Astyanax mexicanus: one gene and its partner. The protein of the gene in region 2 purifies or fractionates together with the protein of the main gene of each other region. This does not show direct contact. Links are inferred from orthologs where the notes say so. Each region holds a gene or a part of one and is shown on either strand. Other genes may lie near its edges.

Evidence for each region.
Region 1: the proteins of depdc5 (region 2) and wdr24 purify together in Homo sapiens (affinity purification with western blotting; 4 studies listed by BioGRID and IntAct, with this or other methods). This does not show direct contact. The link is inferred for Astyanax mexicanus from reciprocal best matches to the Homo sapiens genes DEPDC5 and WDR24.

Annotation. Positions count from the first base shown.
Region 1 is NC_064413.1:14,967,899-14,975,419, reverse strand, and holds the start of wdr24 (GATOR complex protein WDR24), read right to left. Parts: upstream 3,103-7,521; 5' UTR 3,065-3,102; intron 3,052-3,064; exon of another isoform or gene 2,903-3,051; intron 594-2,902; 5' UTR 448-593; intron 1-447. Other genes in the region: uncharacterized protein zgc:112496, read left to right, coding at 4,622-4,761, 4,944-5,037. UniProt on the Homo sapiens protein: Catalytic component of the GATOR2 complex, a multiprotein complex that acts as an activator of the amino acid-sensing branch of the mTORC1 signaling pathway. The GATOR2 complex indirectly activates mTORC1 through the inhibition of the GATOR1 subcomplex.
Region 2 is NC_064427.1:19,700,086-19,707,796, forward strand, and holds the start of depdc5 (GATOR complex protein DEPDC5), read right to left. Parts: upstream 3,001-7,711; 5' UTR 2,839-3,000; intron 393-2,838; exon of another isoform or gene 81-392; intron 1-80. UniProt on the Homo sapiens protein: As a component of the GATOR1 complex functions as an inhibitor of the amino acid-sensing branch of the mTORC1 pathway.

The sequences.
Region 1 (7,521 bases), on a different chromosome or scaffold from region 2:
ACCCACCATCAGACCTCGCTTATTTCATGACACCTTGCCACAAGCACATTAGCCAGTATTTAACCTCACGAGATAACACCTCACAACTTATACAGGTGTGGGCCTTCTCAAGACGTTTCCTGATGTAACACTTTAGGATTTCCACACTGCTATGACTTTTATGAATGAAACAATTTCAGTCTAGCAGTGAAAACATTAAAACAGTTTATAAAATATGGTGATATGCAGCTTGTGCTATGCTCTATAACTGTATGTTATGTGTTTATTAGGTCCACATGGAAAAATGATGACAACACTATTTAGCCTATTAAGTATTTAACCAAGAACAATTTGTATTTTTTTCCCTTGCATTTAGTTTAATTTATAGATTTATTCACAAGCTTTTTCTACTGAGAATTTTAACTGAACATTTAAACATCTGATATTTTATAAGCCTTTGTTACCCACCTCTGCTTTAATGAACACAGCACTAGTGACCTGTAGTTACTGTATAGTTCATCACTGGAAGTTTATCCGGTTCACCATGTCTCCTCATGTCAACACAAGGCACGGGCACCTCAGTCCCCTGCACGTGCCCCATGCAAAACAGTGATCTGTTAAAGGCAAAGAGAGAGACAGAAATGTATATGTATTTTTTTTTTTTTATCACTACTATTTTTGTCACTTCTATTCAAATATTATAGCGAGTATTGCCATTTTTGCTGTTAGTGTAGAGGGTGAGAGACATACAAATGGAGAATAGTTTAGCTGCTTTGATTTTTTAGTATTCGCCTGTAATGAAATTTCAGCAACCAACCATGGTCAGTGCGGGACCATGATAATTTATTCTTGTGTCGGTTACATAATCTCTATTAACGTGTTGTAGTGGGTGACAAATTAAAGGAAAACCCTTAGAAAATAAGTGTAGATTATTCCATAAACTACAGCAAGTTTGAAAAGGGGGTTCATTGTTGAGCAGCAGAGAGCACAGAGAGGCAGTTTATTCACCAATAAATAAATAAAATAGCATAAATGTATTTTAACTTGCTAGTCTTTGGCATTTTCAGCTAATTAATGTCAGTTGATAAATAATTGGTGCATCCATAATGGAATACATTAAGAAAACAATGCAGGTCAGGAGGCTTTACCCCTATACTGTGAGAGGGTCAGGTGGCTCTATTTTGCAGTAGGGGCATCTTGCTAGAATGGCTTGGGTCCACTTGCCCTCTCAAAGGGAAGATAGGTCGCTGTGAATCAAACTATAAGTCATTTTGACATATCACTTTTGTCCTGTTTAAAATAATTGCTATATTGGTTGGAGAGTTGCTTCCAGGATGCCTTTGTTACCTTTCACAGGGAACTTAGTTTAGTTTAGTTATATTTTATCCACTCCTAAATGTTCCTTTGGTAATTTTTTTGAACAAAGCAAATTTAGCATGTAAAAAACTGATTAAAAGTGATTTGATGCCATCCTCAAGTCCTTAAAAGTTTTTAGTTTGTTTGAAAACAACATGAATGACTTATGTTTGTTTCCACTGTTTTGTTACCAAAAGAGTAGTCCAAGTTTGTCAAAGGCAAAGAGCAGAGTACCGTATGAACATTTCCACTATTCCCAGTTGCATTAAAAAGAAATTGTCAAAACAAAAAACCTGTAAAATATTTTAAAAAACATGTTGCATGCTTATAGCATATAGTTGCATCTATATGTACCCACTAAACCACATTAAATGTGTATTTGCTTATAATATAGTAAGAATTTGTCACCATTAAGATACATTACATATTTGTGTTTAATATTTCCACCTATATTTGGTATATAAACAACATATTCTGAAATACATTCATGCATTTTTACAATGTAATGCAATGCAGTTTATCTGTGTTTTTATGCAGTAAAAATTTGTTTTTAGGTACTTTTTTTTTTAGTTTTTCACTATTAGAGAATAGTTTAATAGTTGCAATCTTGTCTATAGTGCCCCTAAAGTTTTAAGGTACAAAAATAATATTTAGAGGCCTAAAATGTTCCCTTGTGTAATAAAACATGGCCAGAATTAAATAACTTTATTATTTTCAGTTTAATAAAATAGTGCCTCTAATAAAAAAAAAAACACTCCATCAATTAAACAAAATATTCCCAAAATGTAACCAATCATTCTCTAAATAAAAAAAACAATTACTGCATCTAATAAATAATTTCTTAGATTTAATAAAATAATACACAGATTTGATAAATATGTTTTTCATTAACAGATTAAATGTGTTCCTTTAAAGTAATGAAACATACCATCCCTGCTTAGAATTTCCTTCCTGTCCCTCCTGCCCCACCCCTAAACCTACACATCACCCAGTGTTACTCCCAAACTACCCCTCTCATTTATTTATTTATTTAGCATTTTTCAAGTCTGAGCTGTGGGGGGATTCAGCTAATACCAGGGGGTTTAGTTACTCTTTAGTTAACTCCTAACCAGCACAGAGTATGTTTTCTCTGGATTACTAGCTGGATTTTTTTAACAGGGATGTAATGAATCATTCCCTCAATGTAATAAACCGTTCCAATGATGTAATAAAATATCATAAACAATAAAAAAAAACTTATAAAAAGAGAATTATGTAACGTTAATTAATATTTTTTCGGCGTTAATAAATAATTAACTGCGTTTAATAAATCGTTAGGTAAGTGTAAGGTAAGTGTAAGTTAAGTGAATCGTGGTCTTTGAATTTCTGCTATTTGTAAACACGGGTCTGTTGGTCCATGTGCTCTTTTTTAGTAAACAGGAGATTTCCGATAAGAGCTCTCAGACTGAACACATTCCCTCACAGTGCTGTGGAACAAAGTGAGTGCAGAGCTGCTCTAATCTGCTGCAGGAAACTGGAGAAATTAATAATAATCAGTTTTAGAAGAAGTAAAAACAGATCCCTGAACCTCTCTCTGCTGCTCCTCCGCCGCTGCAGTAACTCAACCTGCCGCTCCGGCTCTGTATCTCTGTGTGTGTCTGCTCTTCTCGGCTGGTGTTGATTCTGTTTTATACAGCGATAATAATAATAACGATAATAAAAATGAGTTAAAAAAAATCCCATAACTGACCTTTCAAAACAAACCTGCAGGAGAAAGAGGAACCGGATGTGGAGCATTCACTTCCGCTTTGGTGCAGCACGCGCGTGTGTGTTTTTAGTTACAGAATTTAAAAGTGGATTTCTCGGGGTTCTCTGCTTTTTACACGAGAGGAAATACTATCAGCAATTTAATACATCTAATAATCCCATACTGTTAGTATTTCTTATTATCTAGGTGAATATAGGGAGTCTAAGGTATGTATTACCGACTAAAAGCCCATTCTGAGTAAATGTAGTTTTAATAGAAATTGAATGTAGTTTACTTTGCTGTATATAGTACTGTGGAGTTATTAATCTTTATTGTTTTAATAATTAAATATCGTTTTTAACTATGTCCTCTACTGAAATAAAACAGTGGAATAGATCAGAAAGTAGAGCTGCAGGGCTTTACTGTGGCTGTAATTCACACTTGTTGCAATGTATTAAGACAAAATTGAAGGTGACTTTTATTACTGCAGGTTAAATAAGCTACACGGACTAGTAAAACAGGCGGGGCGCGTTTCATTTCTGTTTTAACGCCCTTCTGCACTTCTGCACTCTAAATTCAAATTAAGCTGATATATATATATATATTTCTTTATTTAAGAAAATTATTTCATGTGTTCTCTTTAATTATTTTAAAACGAAATGTATTGAATACATTTTTATACACTGAGGGAAGATTTTAAGTCTCTAAATATATTTTTTGTACCTTGATACTTTGGGGTCTCTACACAAAACACTGTACTGACGTTTTTTAATGTAGAAGCAAACACCAGTAACATATTAATGGGCAAAATAAAGTTTTGATTAAAGTAGGGCTGAGTGATATTGTAAAACAATTGTAAAATATTGATTTTTTTTTAGTTCTTACTTAACTTTTTATATGTAAACAGGCTGTACCATTTAAAGTGATGTACAAGTTGTTGTTTCCTTTACATGTCATTGCCTTTTATTTATTTATTTTTCCAGAATAGTAAGCAGCCCCCTTTAACCTTACATAACCTCCTTGTATTTCAGTTTTTATTTTAGGAAAATAGTTCTTTATAGGTTTCAGACATAAGCAAATGTCTATCTACTGAGAACTGATTAATTCAGTTGATCAGTTTGATTTGATTAACCTTCCATCCTGTACTGTACCCTCCTCCTCTCTTGTACAGCAGATGGTCACTTGTATGACATAACTGATACAAGTCTGCTTTCTTATTGGATTTTTGGGAAGAAAAAAGTATGAATTGGAACAGTTTAGACAGAAAGTAATTACAGGGCTGTCTTTTTGACTTTTAATATTATTTCCTCAATTCAATTGTAGCTGAACACAAGCTGAAATTTAGTATTTGATTTTATTTTGACTTAGGAGATTACTTTATTGCATTGTCTAGAGTGTGGAATTAGAGTACTTTTCTACGTATTTGGTCAGACCAGCATAAAAATTGAGCTAATGATTAAAATAACATACATTTCATTTTTAGGCTTGTAATTTTACCTAAATCAGATATTTAAGCTAAATAAACTCTTTCTCTCTGTATTTCTCTATATGTCTGTTAGCATGTCTGGGGCTGAGCAGCTGTACACCTGTGAAGATCCGGCAGTGTGGACGCGTATTTACGGCAAATACTGGACTGTGGTGGAAGCAAAGTCTGCTGGAAAAGGGAAACGTTCGGGGAAGCTGTTGGCTTTAGACAAATGGTACGACAGACAGGTGCCATGAATGAAAAGCTATAGACACAGCTTCACAGTCTGATATAGTCTCTCATTTACACACATCAGTGCTTGACTGTACTAGGTTTGCCAGTATGCCACAAAACACACACACAGCATACAAGAACAGAAGCTCCCGAACATCTAATGTAATAACGTTTATTGTTTAGGTATCAGGAGGAGCTGCCAGCGATTATTTCAGATCGGACAGAGCCTTTTCTGACACACCCAGAACTGGTTAAACTCATGGAATGGAAACTCACTGTGAGTAAATACAGTAAGTGCACTTATACACATCCCAACACATTTTGATGCCCTTAAGCTGGAAGGCTTTGTTCACACTGCAGGGCAAATCTGTTGTTTTTAAATATGATTTTAAGACCACAATTTATGCCAAAAGATCTTAATACCTTTCAGCTGTGACCTAACGGTTAGAGAAGTTGGCTTGGGACTGAAATGCACTTCATCTCATTGAGAGGATATGAGGGTGGGGTAAGTGCAACAGCACTTTCTCAGGGTTTCTGCGTGTCCTTAAAAAGTCTTAAAAAGTCTTAAATAAAAATCTGGGTATTTAAATTGTCCTAAGTTTACTGTACATATGCTGTAGGTATTACATTTTTGGATAGTGCATTTAATGCCGGTGGAAAAACACAGTGGCCCATCGTAAACATCTAATCCAGGGAGAGAACTAAGGTTAGCGGAGAGCTAGCTAACATTAGTGGCGAGTTAGCTAACATACTAAATTTAGCGGCCAGCTAGCTAACATACTAACTTTAGCTAGCTTAAGCGAGCTAGCTAGAATTACCTGTAATAGATCTAAGGTTAGCAGAGAACTTTAGTGATGAGTTAGCTAACATTCTAACATTAGTGGCGAGTTAGCTAACACGCTAACTTTAGCGGCAAGCTAGCTAACATATTAACATTAGTGGCAAGCTAGCTAACATACTAACTTTAGCTAGCTTAAGAGAAATAGCTAACGTTACCAGGGAAAGAAGTAAGGTTAATGGAAAGCTAGCTAATATTAGCGGCGAGATAGCTAACATGCTAATGTTTGCAACAAGCAAATTAACGTTAGCAGTAAGCTAGCTAACATACTAACTTTAGCTAGCTTAAATGTGCTAGCTAGTGTTACCAGGGATACAACTAATGTTAGCGGAGAGCTAGCCAACGTTACCGGGGAGAAAGCTAAAGAAATTATGACTACGTTTTTGGGTCTTAAATTATATTTATTATGGTCTTAAAAATGTCTTAAAAAGCATTAGATTTGACTTTTAAAATGGTGCCCCGTTACTCCTTCAGCATTTACATTTACAACCACCAGTTGTGATGTAAACTCCATTCTTATATACAGTCTATACTTTCTTAACTTGCGTCAGTCCTCATCTCATTTACCAACGTAGATGTTTGTTAGCTGATGTAACAACGGGCATTTGGTATTATCTTCCACTTGTCTTAAGCTGTCCAAAGATGATGTGTTGGTGACAGTGTAAAAAATTGAGAAGGTTGGAATCACACAGAGCAAGCACATGATAGCGTTTATGAAATGTATGGTGATTCTACACTTTGCTTTTATTTAGAAATGATTAAAGGGGACATATTATGCAAATATGCTTTTATAATTCCATGTGGGTATCGACTATAAACCCCTATTGTCGAGACCTATCCCCTGTAAACCCTCCAAAATATACTTTTTTTTTTAATCAGTTAAAAGAGTTTGGTATTATGAATCATATTCTTCTATGAGCTGTTTGGGTGGTTTACTTATTGTGATGTCACAATAAAAAAAACATGCATAGGACCAACCTGCCCCCACCGCTTGCCTGTCAATCCCCACCACAGCCCCACCCAGTAGTTCAGTTGAAGATCCTCCATTCGGTCTGCTGGTTAAGAAACTCCGACCGTACACAGCATTACATTTCATCTGAAGGAGGGATCTGTATTGTGTTAGGGACTGAAATAGGTTTAATAACTCTGAAAGGACCTGCATTGTTTTGTGCAATGTCAAGTTACATTTTTTTTGCTGCTTGATACAAAAAAATGACCACTTTTAGTATTTTATCAGATGGTATCTACCAAATACTAGTTATGTTACTCCAATCATTAATGTACAGATTGTATTATTTATGTCATGACATAAATTGATTGATAACTATTGATTCATTGATTTCTGGCAAAATTTGGTGTTAGTCCTGTGTTTTTTATTTGTAGATTAATAATAAAGATATAAAACCTATTAGAGGGACATATAGAATTACATAATATACAAAAAAGTGTTCGTCGACCTAAACCTGAGATGTGTGATTTTGGATGATCTAGAGCTTCACAGTGTGAAGGAAAAGCAGCAACTATTCCAGGTGACTCTACCTTATGAAGCACCTGAGAAAATACCAATAGTGTGCAAATGTGGTACTTAGAAGAATGTAAAGCAAAAAAAAAAACATGTTCTGGTTTGTTATTTTGTTTTCAAAATAACTCAGCATGTGTAGCTTTAGTATCTTCAATATTAAATTGACCAAAAACAACAGTTTGAATAATAAGAGGTGTGTCCAAGCTTTTGACTGATACAATATATATAAAAGAACTTAAGCCACTGACATTCTTAAAGCATATTCTGACATAATGAACCGTAATTCCCTAAATTATGGAAATTTATTATTTTTTTTCCTCCATCATTCAGGGCATAACCGTTCCTGAAGAATGTGCATCAAGAAAGATGTTTTATTAATTAATTAATAATAAGCAAGATTT
Region 2 (7,711 bases):
AATTAGACCCAAGTAGTCCAACATATAAATAAAGAAAAAACCCACATTTGTAATACTTCTGTTTCACAATTATTCCACAGGTCCTGATATATTTTGGAGAAGTGGCTTGGTGGTAAAAGAATGCAGCACACTGATCCAACACTGGCAGAACTGACAACGTCTCTGCTGTTCAGAAGCTAAGATGCACAACACAAAGACGATGTTTATGCCTTTTTTTATTGATTAATACCCTATATTTGATACTTACAAGAAATCCAAAATTGAAAGTAATGTAATTAAATGTATTTTTGTAATTGTGGTATTGATTTCTTTATTGTGGTTTATTTATTTGTATTTGCAATTTGGAAATGTATGTTGTGATTTTAAAAATATAACTTATCTAAACAAGGAAACCAATTGGTCATTCATTATTAAGTGAAATGCCTTTTTAATTGCTCTTTAACAAAAAAAAGGTTTTATCCGATTACTCAATTAATCGAATCGATTTTTCAGTAGAGTACTCGATTACAAAAAGGATCGATAGCTGCAGCCCTAAATGTAATACAATCTAACTCAATGCTGATGCTGTATCTCAATTTAACCCAACTAAAGGACCTCAGGGTTTCCCCCAGGATTTCCTTGAAGGTGCGGTGGCAGGACCCCCCGGTTGGGAACCGATAATTTATATCACGTTAATGATATCACGATATAACACAATTACACATGTTTCCAGTTATTTTCTTTATTTCCAACTGTCACTGACAAATGCCCACTTAAAACAAAAAGTTGCAAAAAGTAGGTTTCTTTAAAATAATTCCATTTTGTCTCATTTTTCAGATACGGTAAACGTAAAAGTGTGCAACACAAAATGTTAAATTATACATAACAGAGGAGAAAGGGCACAACAGACATGTTATCTATACAGTATATCACCCAGCCACATTCAGTGGCACATCTGGCAGGCTGGCTCAGAGCATTTAATCCTCCTGGATTTTTTAAAGAACAGCTCAAAGGCCTTCTGGTATGGGAACTCAAGGACTGAAGGTCCATTAATACTGATGCGCATGCACGCAGCCAGGTGCTCCCCCTGTAGCCTGTTTCTCAGGTCTGTTTTCACCTATTATGAATACATACATGAAGGCTACATCAATGAAATGACTTTTTAATACCCTTTTCCAAAGAAAATTAAGACCAACTCGCAAGATCATATACGTTAAAATAAAAAAACTATTAATTGTTTACGTTTAATCTAGCTGCTTGAAAACTTCAAATGTGAATGCACAAGACACAATACGAGACACAAACATTACAATTTTCTCACTGTACAGTATACACAATTAAACTTTATACAAAACCAAATTCAATTTAATATATTTAATATATATGTATTATTTATTCGCTCTTATCTGTATTAGGTATTTTAAATGTGAGAATGAGTAAATAAAATAAAAAATATTATTGAATTTAATTAAAAATTGTGCTTATTAAAACAGACAAATAATATCTTTAATCTTTAATTTAATTACAATAAAATGTTTACTGGACCGTGAAAACAAATGCATCACAGAGCTGTTCTAGGGTGCCTCTATTCTAGGGCCCTACATCCTTGCTTTATGACAGCTCCAGAAACAGAAACATAGCGTGATTTTCACTCCACCAGGTGAGTGAGCCTGAGTGGACACCTGCGTAAGTTGAAGCTGTTTAATCACTGTTTAATTCATCTCTCTCTCTCGCGCGCGCATTATGTTTCAGTCTCTCTCTCTCTCTCTCTCTCTCTCTCTCTCTCGCATTATGTTTCAGTCTCTCTCTCTCGCTATTTACAGGCGCGCTCTCGCTCTCTCTCTCTCTCTCGCGTTATGTTTCAGTCTCTCTCTCTCGCTGTGTCCTATACTCACACTCTCTCTCTCGCGCGCGCGTTATGTTGGCACTGCATGACTAACTACCGATTTCCACCCCCGAAGTTCAACACATGGCTGACGGAATTATTCCCCCCTAAATTTAGCTCCGGCAAATTTAAGACATTTTGGTTGAAATTTTAAGACAAAATAAGACTTTTCAAGGCCTTATTTGACAAAAATGAAATTTAATACCATTTAAGACTTTTTAAGGACCCGCGGCCACCCTGCTACATGTGCAGGACTGGAACACAGCTGTGCGTTTAGGAATTACGGCTAGAGAAGCCCTCACCTGTAGCCTCCCGAAATAGATGCAACATGCGAAACCAGCCGTGTTGTGTAGGCTACGTCTACAACATATTACCGATATAACCCTTGAACAATGTTCAACAACTTGTTCACAAATATAAAAAAACATCATTTCAGCGCCACATACCTCGGATTCAGTTGTCCAGTTTGACAGCCGGTGTCCTGTCGAGATGATCAAATTCCAGTGTCAGAAACGAGAGAGGGCGGGGCAACGCTGATCAAGCGCGGGAAAAACGCCGGGCTCCGAATTTTCACGAAGGGTGGCGGGGAAGAACGAAGGCGTGGCGGACCGCCGCACTGAAATGAACGTGGCGGAAACCCTGGACCTTAAAACTATCCTTAAGTGAAAGTATGAGTACAATATCACAGTCTAATTCAGTTTAAGCACTGAGCTGTTCTTTAGTGAATATCATATCAGGTATCATATTATAGCTATGGAACAACTAAAGAACCAGTTTAAATAAGAGTATCAGCGCTTTACTCAACGCAGTGGTAGTTAAACATCATTATCTGTGGGGCTTAATTGTGTAAATAAGCTCGAAAATACAACATTTTCAGCTCTGATCTGACAGTGTAAACAGTATAAACAGGAGCTGTGGAGTCTTAGAGTGTTAGAGAGAGTGATACAGGCTGTTCACTCCGCTCTGTAACTCACCCACACTGCAGCTCACTGTCTCACTCTGTAACACCAACATCTTCTTAGTTCTCAGGTTCTCCGGTTTTAAAGGTTCTAAATGTTCTCTGTCCTGCTCGTTCCCCCATCACAACAACACACCCCGCTCTTCTTCTTCTTCTGCTGCTGCTGCTGTAGCTGCTGGAGAGCAGCGCTTCTGTAGAGCACAGCGCCCCCTACACACACCACCCAGCTATAGCAATATAACCACCTCCTTCATTCCACACACATCAGACGTCCCAAGTTGCAAAAGTTGATTTTAGGGAGGTTACACCCCCCGCCAAAAAAAAAAAAAAAAAAAAAAAAAAAAAAACTTGCACACACACCAAAGGATAACGAAACTTTACTTTTATGTTAATTAATTTTACATTAATTTTGAGTATTCAGAGGTGAAATTAGTTTTATCTTTTTTTCTTTTTGGAAGGCCCTGCCTCTGCTTTCCTTTTTTTTTTGGACAAAAATTGACAGTTACAATATCAAAAAAATTGCACAACATCAAAAACATTTCATATCATATTACAATAATTATTCATTTTTCCGGGAGGTGGGAAAAACACTGCCAGCCCACACTAAAAACTGATTGGCTGTCTCACAGACTCTTTGCAGAGAACAGGCCAATCAGAACCCTCTATGTTTTCTCTATCTCCTTCCCACACGCGATTAGAGAAAAAAAGTCTGTCGCCTGTGTGCGCGTTTGGGGCACTCGTTCTGAATTCCGGGAGATTATATGTGACTCGCGGCATCAGGGAGCCACTACCGAAATGCGGGAGACTCCCGCAGCTTCAGGGTTTGTCTGCACACATTATCATTATATTATCACCTCATCCAAACTCTGACAAAAAAAAACCATATGGATTTTTTTACTGAACGAAAAAAGTGTGTAATATGTTTTATATTTTATATTCTTTAGTTAACAGCTGTGCTGAACTCGTCAAGTTAATTACTTGAAATTTTTGTCTGAAATTGTATGCCCTTATACACAAAATGAGTGATAAAAAACAAGTAAAATTCATCTAGTAGTTATTTTACCTAAATGTATTTTTTTTCCATTCATACACAGCTTCCTTCAAATGTCTGTGATAAATGTAAGACTTTGGGCTAGGTCTGTATAATGTATGTAGCATCTGGGCAAAAAAAAATAATAATATAATTCCTTGTAAATCTTTGTTACATTCACATTTTTACTATGCAAACATGAATATGAACGCTTTAAAAAGTTATTGTAGATGATGTAAATGTAATTTTTTTTCCCTTGGGTCTGTAACTGTGCAGTATATGTTTTTATATTTACCAAGGCATTAGGGCTGGCCCGAATAGCGTTTTTTGAGCTCCGGATATTTGGCACTGATTCTAAGCGAATATTCGAATATTTGTTTTTTAAAAAAGAGGTAAAAAAAAAAAAAAAAAAAGCAAATCACGGCCCCTTTAATCCACTGAAAAATGTTCAATTTGCTCTGACCGACGAGACATATTCACCCCGGATTTTTGGTGTTTTTATCCTGGATTTTTGTGTTTTCACCCCATATTTTTTCTGTGTTTTTAGCCCAGATTTCTTTGTGTTTTCATCCCGGAATTTCTGCTGCCCCACATCGAGGCTGCTGCTGCACGGTTTCTCCGCTGCGCAAGCCAGCCCAGTAAATTGCTGTTTGTGTTTTCACACTTAGGCTATTTGCTTAAAAAAACAAACAAAAAAAAACGTTTGTTCAGGAAGTATTTTATATTCTTAAACATTGTTAATTATATTAGAGGACAGTCATTGTAAACTGTACTTGGTCTATTTCGGTTAAAGGATTGTGCAGGGCATATTACTGATTTTGTATTTTTGCACTTGGGCTATAAGCTCAATATTAAATATTTCGTTTGTTTAGAAATTATTTTATATTTTTAAACCATGTTAAATTATATTAGAGTAGAGGAAAGTCATTGTTAATGACGTTATTGTACTTGGTCTATTTCGGTTTAAGCATTGTGCAGGGCATAGCCGTATTACTGATTTTGTATTTTTGCACTAGGGCTATAAGCTCAATATTAAATATTTCGTTTGTTTAGAAATTATTTTATATTTTTAAACCATGTTAAATTATATTAGAGTAGAGGAAAGTCATTGTTAATGACGTTATTGTACTTGGTCTATTTCGGTTTAAGGAGGGCATAGCCGTATTACTGATTTTGTATTTTTGCACTTGGGCTATAAGCTCAATATTAAATATTTCGTTTGCTTAGAAATTATTTTACATTTTTAAACCATTTTAAATTATATTAGATAAGAGGAAATTCGTTCAGACATCATTTTTGTAGGCCAGGCTTTTGTAACCGATTTAGCCCCTACTGTTGCCACATTACCCCTTACGTTTTATTATATAAATCAGTTTCGAAGAGCCTGCATTTTTTTTTATCATGTATAATAGAGGTCTGCGCGAGACTGATTTTTAAACCCACTCTTCCACGCTCCCGCGTTTCTGTCTCGTTACCGCTCCGCAAAAAAATAGCTTCTTTTAATCCCGCGCCCGCCCGCCACATACACATTTCTGCCGCTCCCGCCCCACGTTCCTAATATAAATTAAATAAACTACATTTAATGCTTCAAATTTACTTATATATTTATTAAAACAGCAGCGCTGAATAGTGTGGTCCCGTTCCTTACCCCAGTCCAAACACCATCGGTGTGTGCGTGTGTGTGTCGGTCCATCCTGTGCGTTGAGAGTTTTCTTTAGGTTTTTTTTTTTACAATTATTACAGTTTTCTTAACTATTTATTAATTTGCTCCCGCATCGTCTGGATTAAACTCCCGCTCCAGCCAATAACAGTTCAGTTCTGTCCCGCGCGCAAGATATTCTGACGGGACCCGCGAGAACAGAAGTGGTTAGAGTGAGGTGGAACTCTGGAAAGGAGAAAAAAAACGAATATCCGAATACCAAAATTAAAAACCGAATACCTACTCAACGAACGAATATCCGAATACCCGAATATTCGGGTCCAGCCCTACAAGGCATACATGGTCCATGCATATATTGCCCTATATTAAACAATATATTTACTTTTTTCCATATATAAAAATGTATTATTTAATATATTGCACTATATTTTCCAATATATTGCCATATGTTATTGTTTCATAAGGGGGTAGAGTTGGTATACAGTGAAGTATTTAAGTAATGTTCTAATCTATAATAAAGAGCCACTAAACCCTACACCCTATTTTTTCATCAGTTGCTGAAATGTCAGACCTTCCAAGTCTCCTGGAAGTTGCGTGAGTAACACAAAAGTAACGCAATAGTTACTTTTACTGGTAACTAGTTACATTATAGTGGAGTAACTCAGTTAGTAACTCAGTGCCCTCAAGTCAGGCTGCACAGATTGTTTTTCCCCAATCGCATGTGTGAAAGAGAGGGAGAGGAAGAGACAGGTGCTTCCCTCATGTGCATATTCATGAAGCGCATGCGAAACAGAGAGGATTCTGATTGGTCTGATCTCTGGGGGGGTTGTCCAAGTCCGAGGGCATCTCCCTGATATTAGTTTTTGCAACTTGGGATGTCTGAAATGTGTTCCTTTAAAGTAATGATACATACCAGTCCTCTTGAAAAAAAAAGGTTTTATTGTGGTAATTTCTGCCTTTGCAGCGCCCTCTCAGGTTTAACTGTGCTATAGGTGTGGATGATGTCTCTGTGTACTGTGCAGATCAGTCTATCAAATATACCGTTCCCCTGATGATGACGTCCAACCATCTGCGTCCCACTGCTATCAGAGGCACACTGCTGCTGCTGCTGCAGCTCAGCCAATCGGCTTTCCCTCCAATCACAGCCCCTAAACCCATACATCACCCAGTGCCCCTTCCATTTATTAGCATTTTTCAAATTTAAGCTGAGGGCGGAGGCTAGAACTACTCAAATAAGTAAAATAAACAAATTACTTGAAAACAATTAAGGTCAGTCAATCCAAAAAAAAAAAAAAGAACTTTAAAAGTAGCTTCACTGCTATGATGAAACTGGCACTAATCATGACCGCACCAGGAAGTGATAGATAAGCAAGAGTTCCTTCTTTTGTACAGAAAAAGTTCATCAGAGCCTCAGAAACCGCAAGTTTACAAACAGCTCCCCAGATAAGAGCACCCAAATTCTTCACAGAGTATATTTTGGTTTGCTTAACACTTTTAAGATTCTACATGATTCCTTATGTAAGTTATGATAATGAACTGATTCATAATATTGATCCATATATACATACAGGTCCACATTTTTTGCACATTAATTCCAACAAAAACAACACAATAACCCAGATATGAAATTACAACACATATTTTAATGAATAATAATAATAAAAGTTTGTTTTAGAAAATTATAAAAACAAATCTGAATTATAAATGCAACTTGTACACATAGTAACTCATTTACAATTTGTTTCAGATAAAGGTTTAAAAAATACTGAATTTAATTTAAATTCCATTTGAGTTCTATTTTATCATTCGATTTTTTGATGCAGAGTCAGTTTCATACAATCCACTCAATCAGTTGTACCTTAAACATCATCATATTTATTAATTATTATAAAAAAACACTGACACCACAAAAATGTATATTTATATACATATATGGCATGTATATGTTAGTGGCAGTGATTAGAGAAGATCAATACTGAGGCAGTGAAACACCATCATCGTTCTTATTCAGTCTGTGGTCATTCTGGGCGGAGTCTCGGGTATCTTTCCTTTAATAAACTGCAGATAAAACACAGTTCTGACTCTTAAACACTGAAGCATATAAACCTTTCTTCTGTGGAACTTCTTCATGTTCTCCTCTGCTTCCTCCTCCTCTCACTGCGGGTTAATGCTTTGGATCAGCAGCTCTGGATCAGCAGC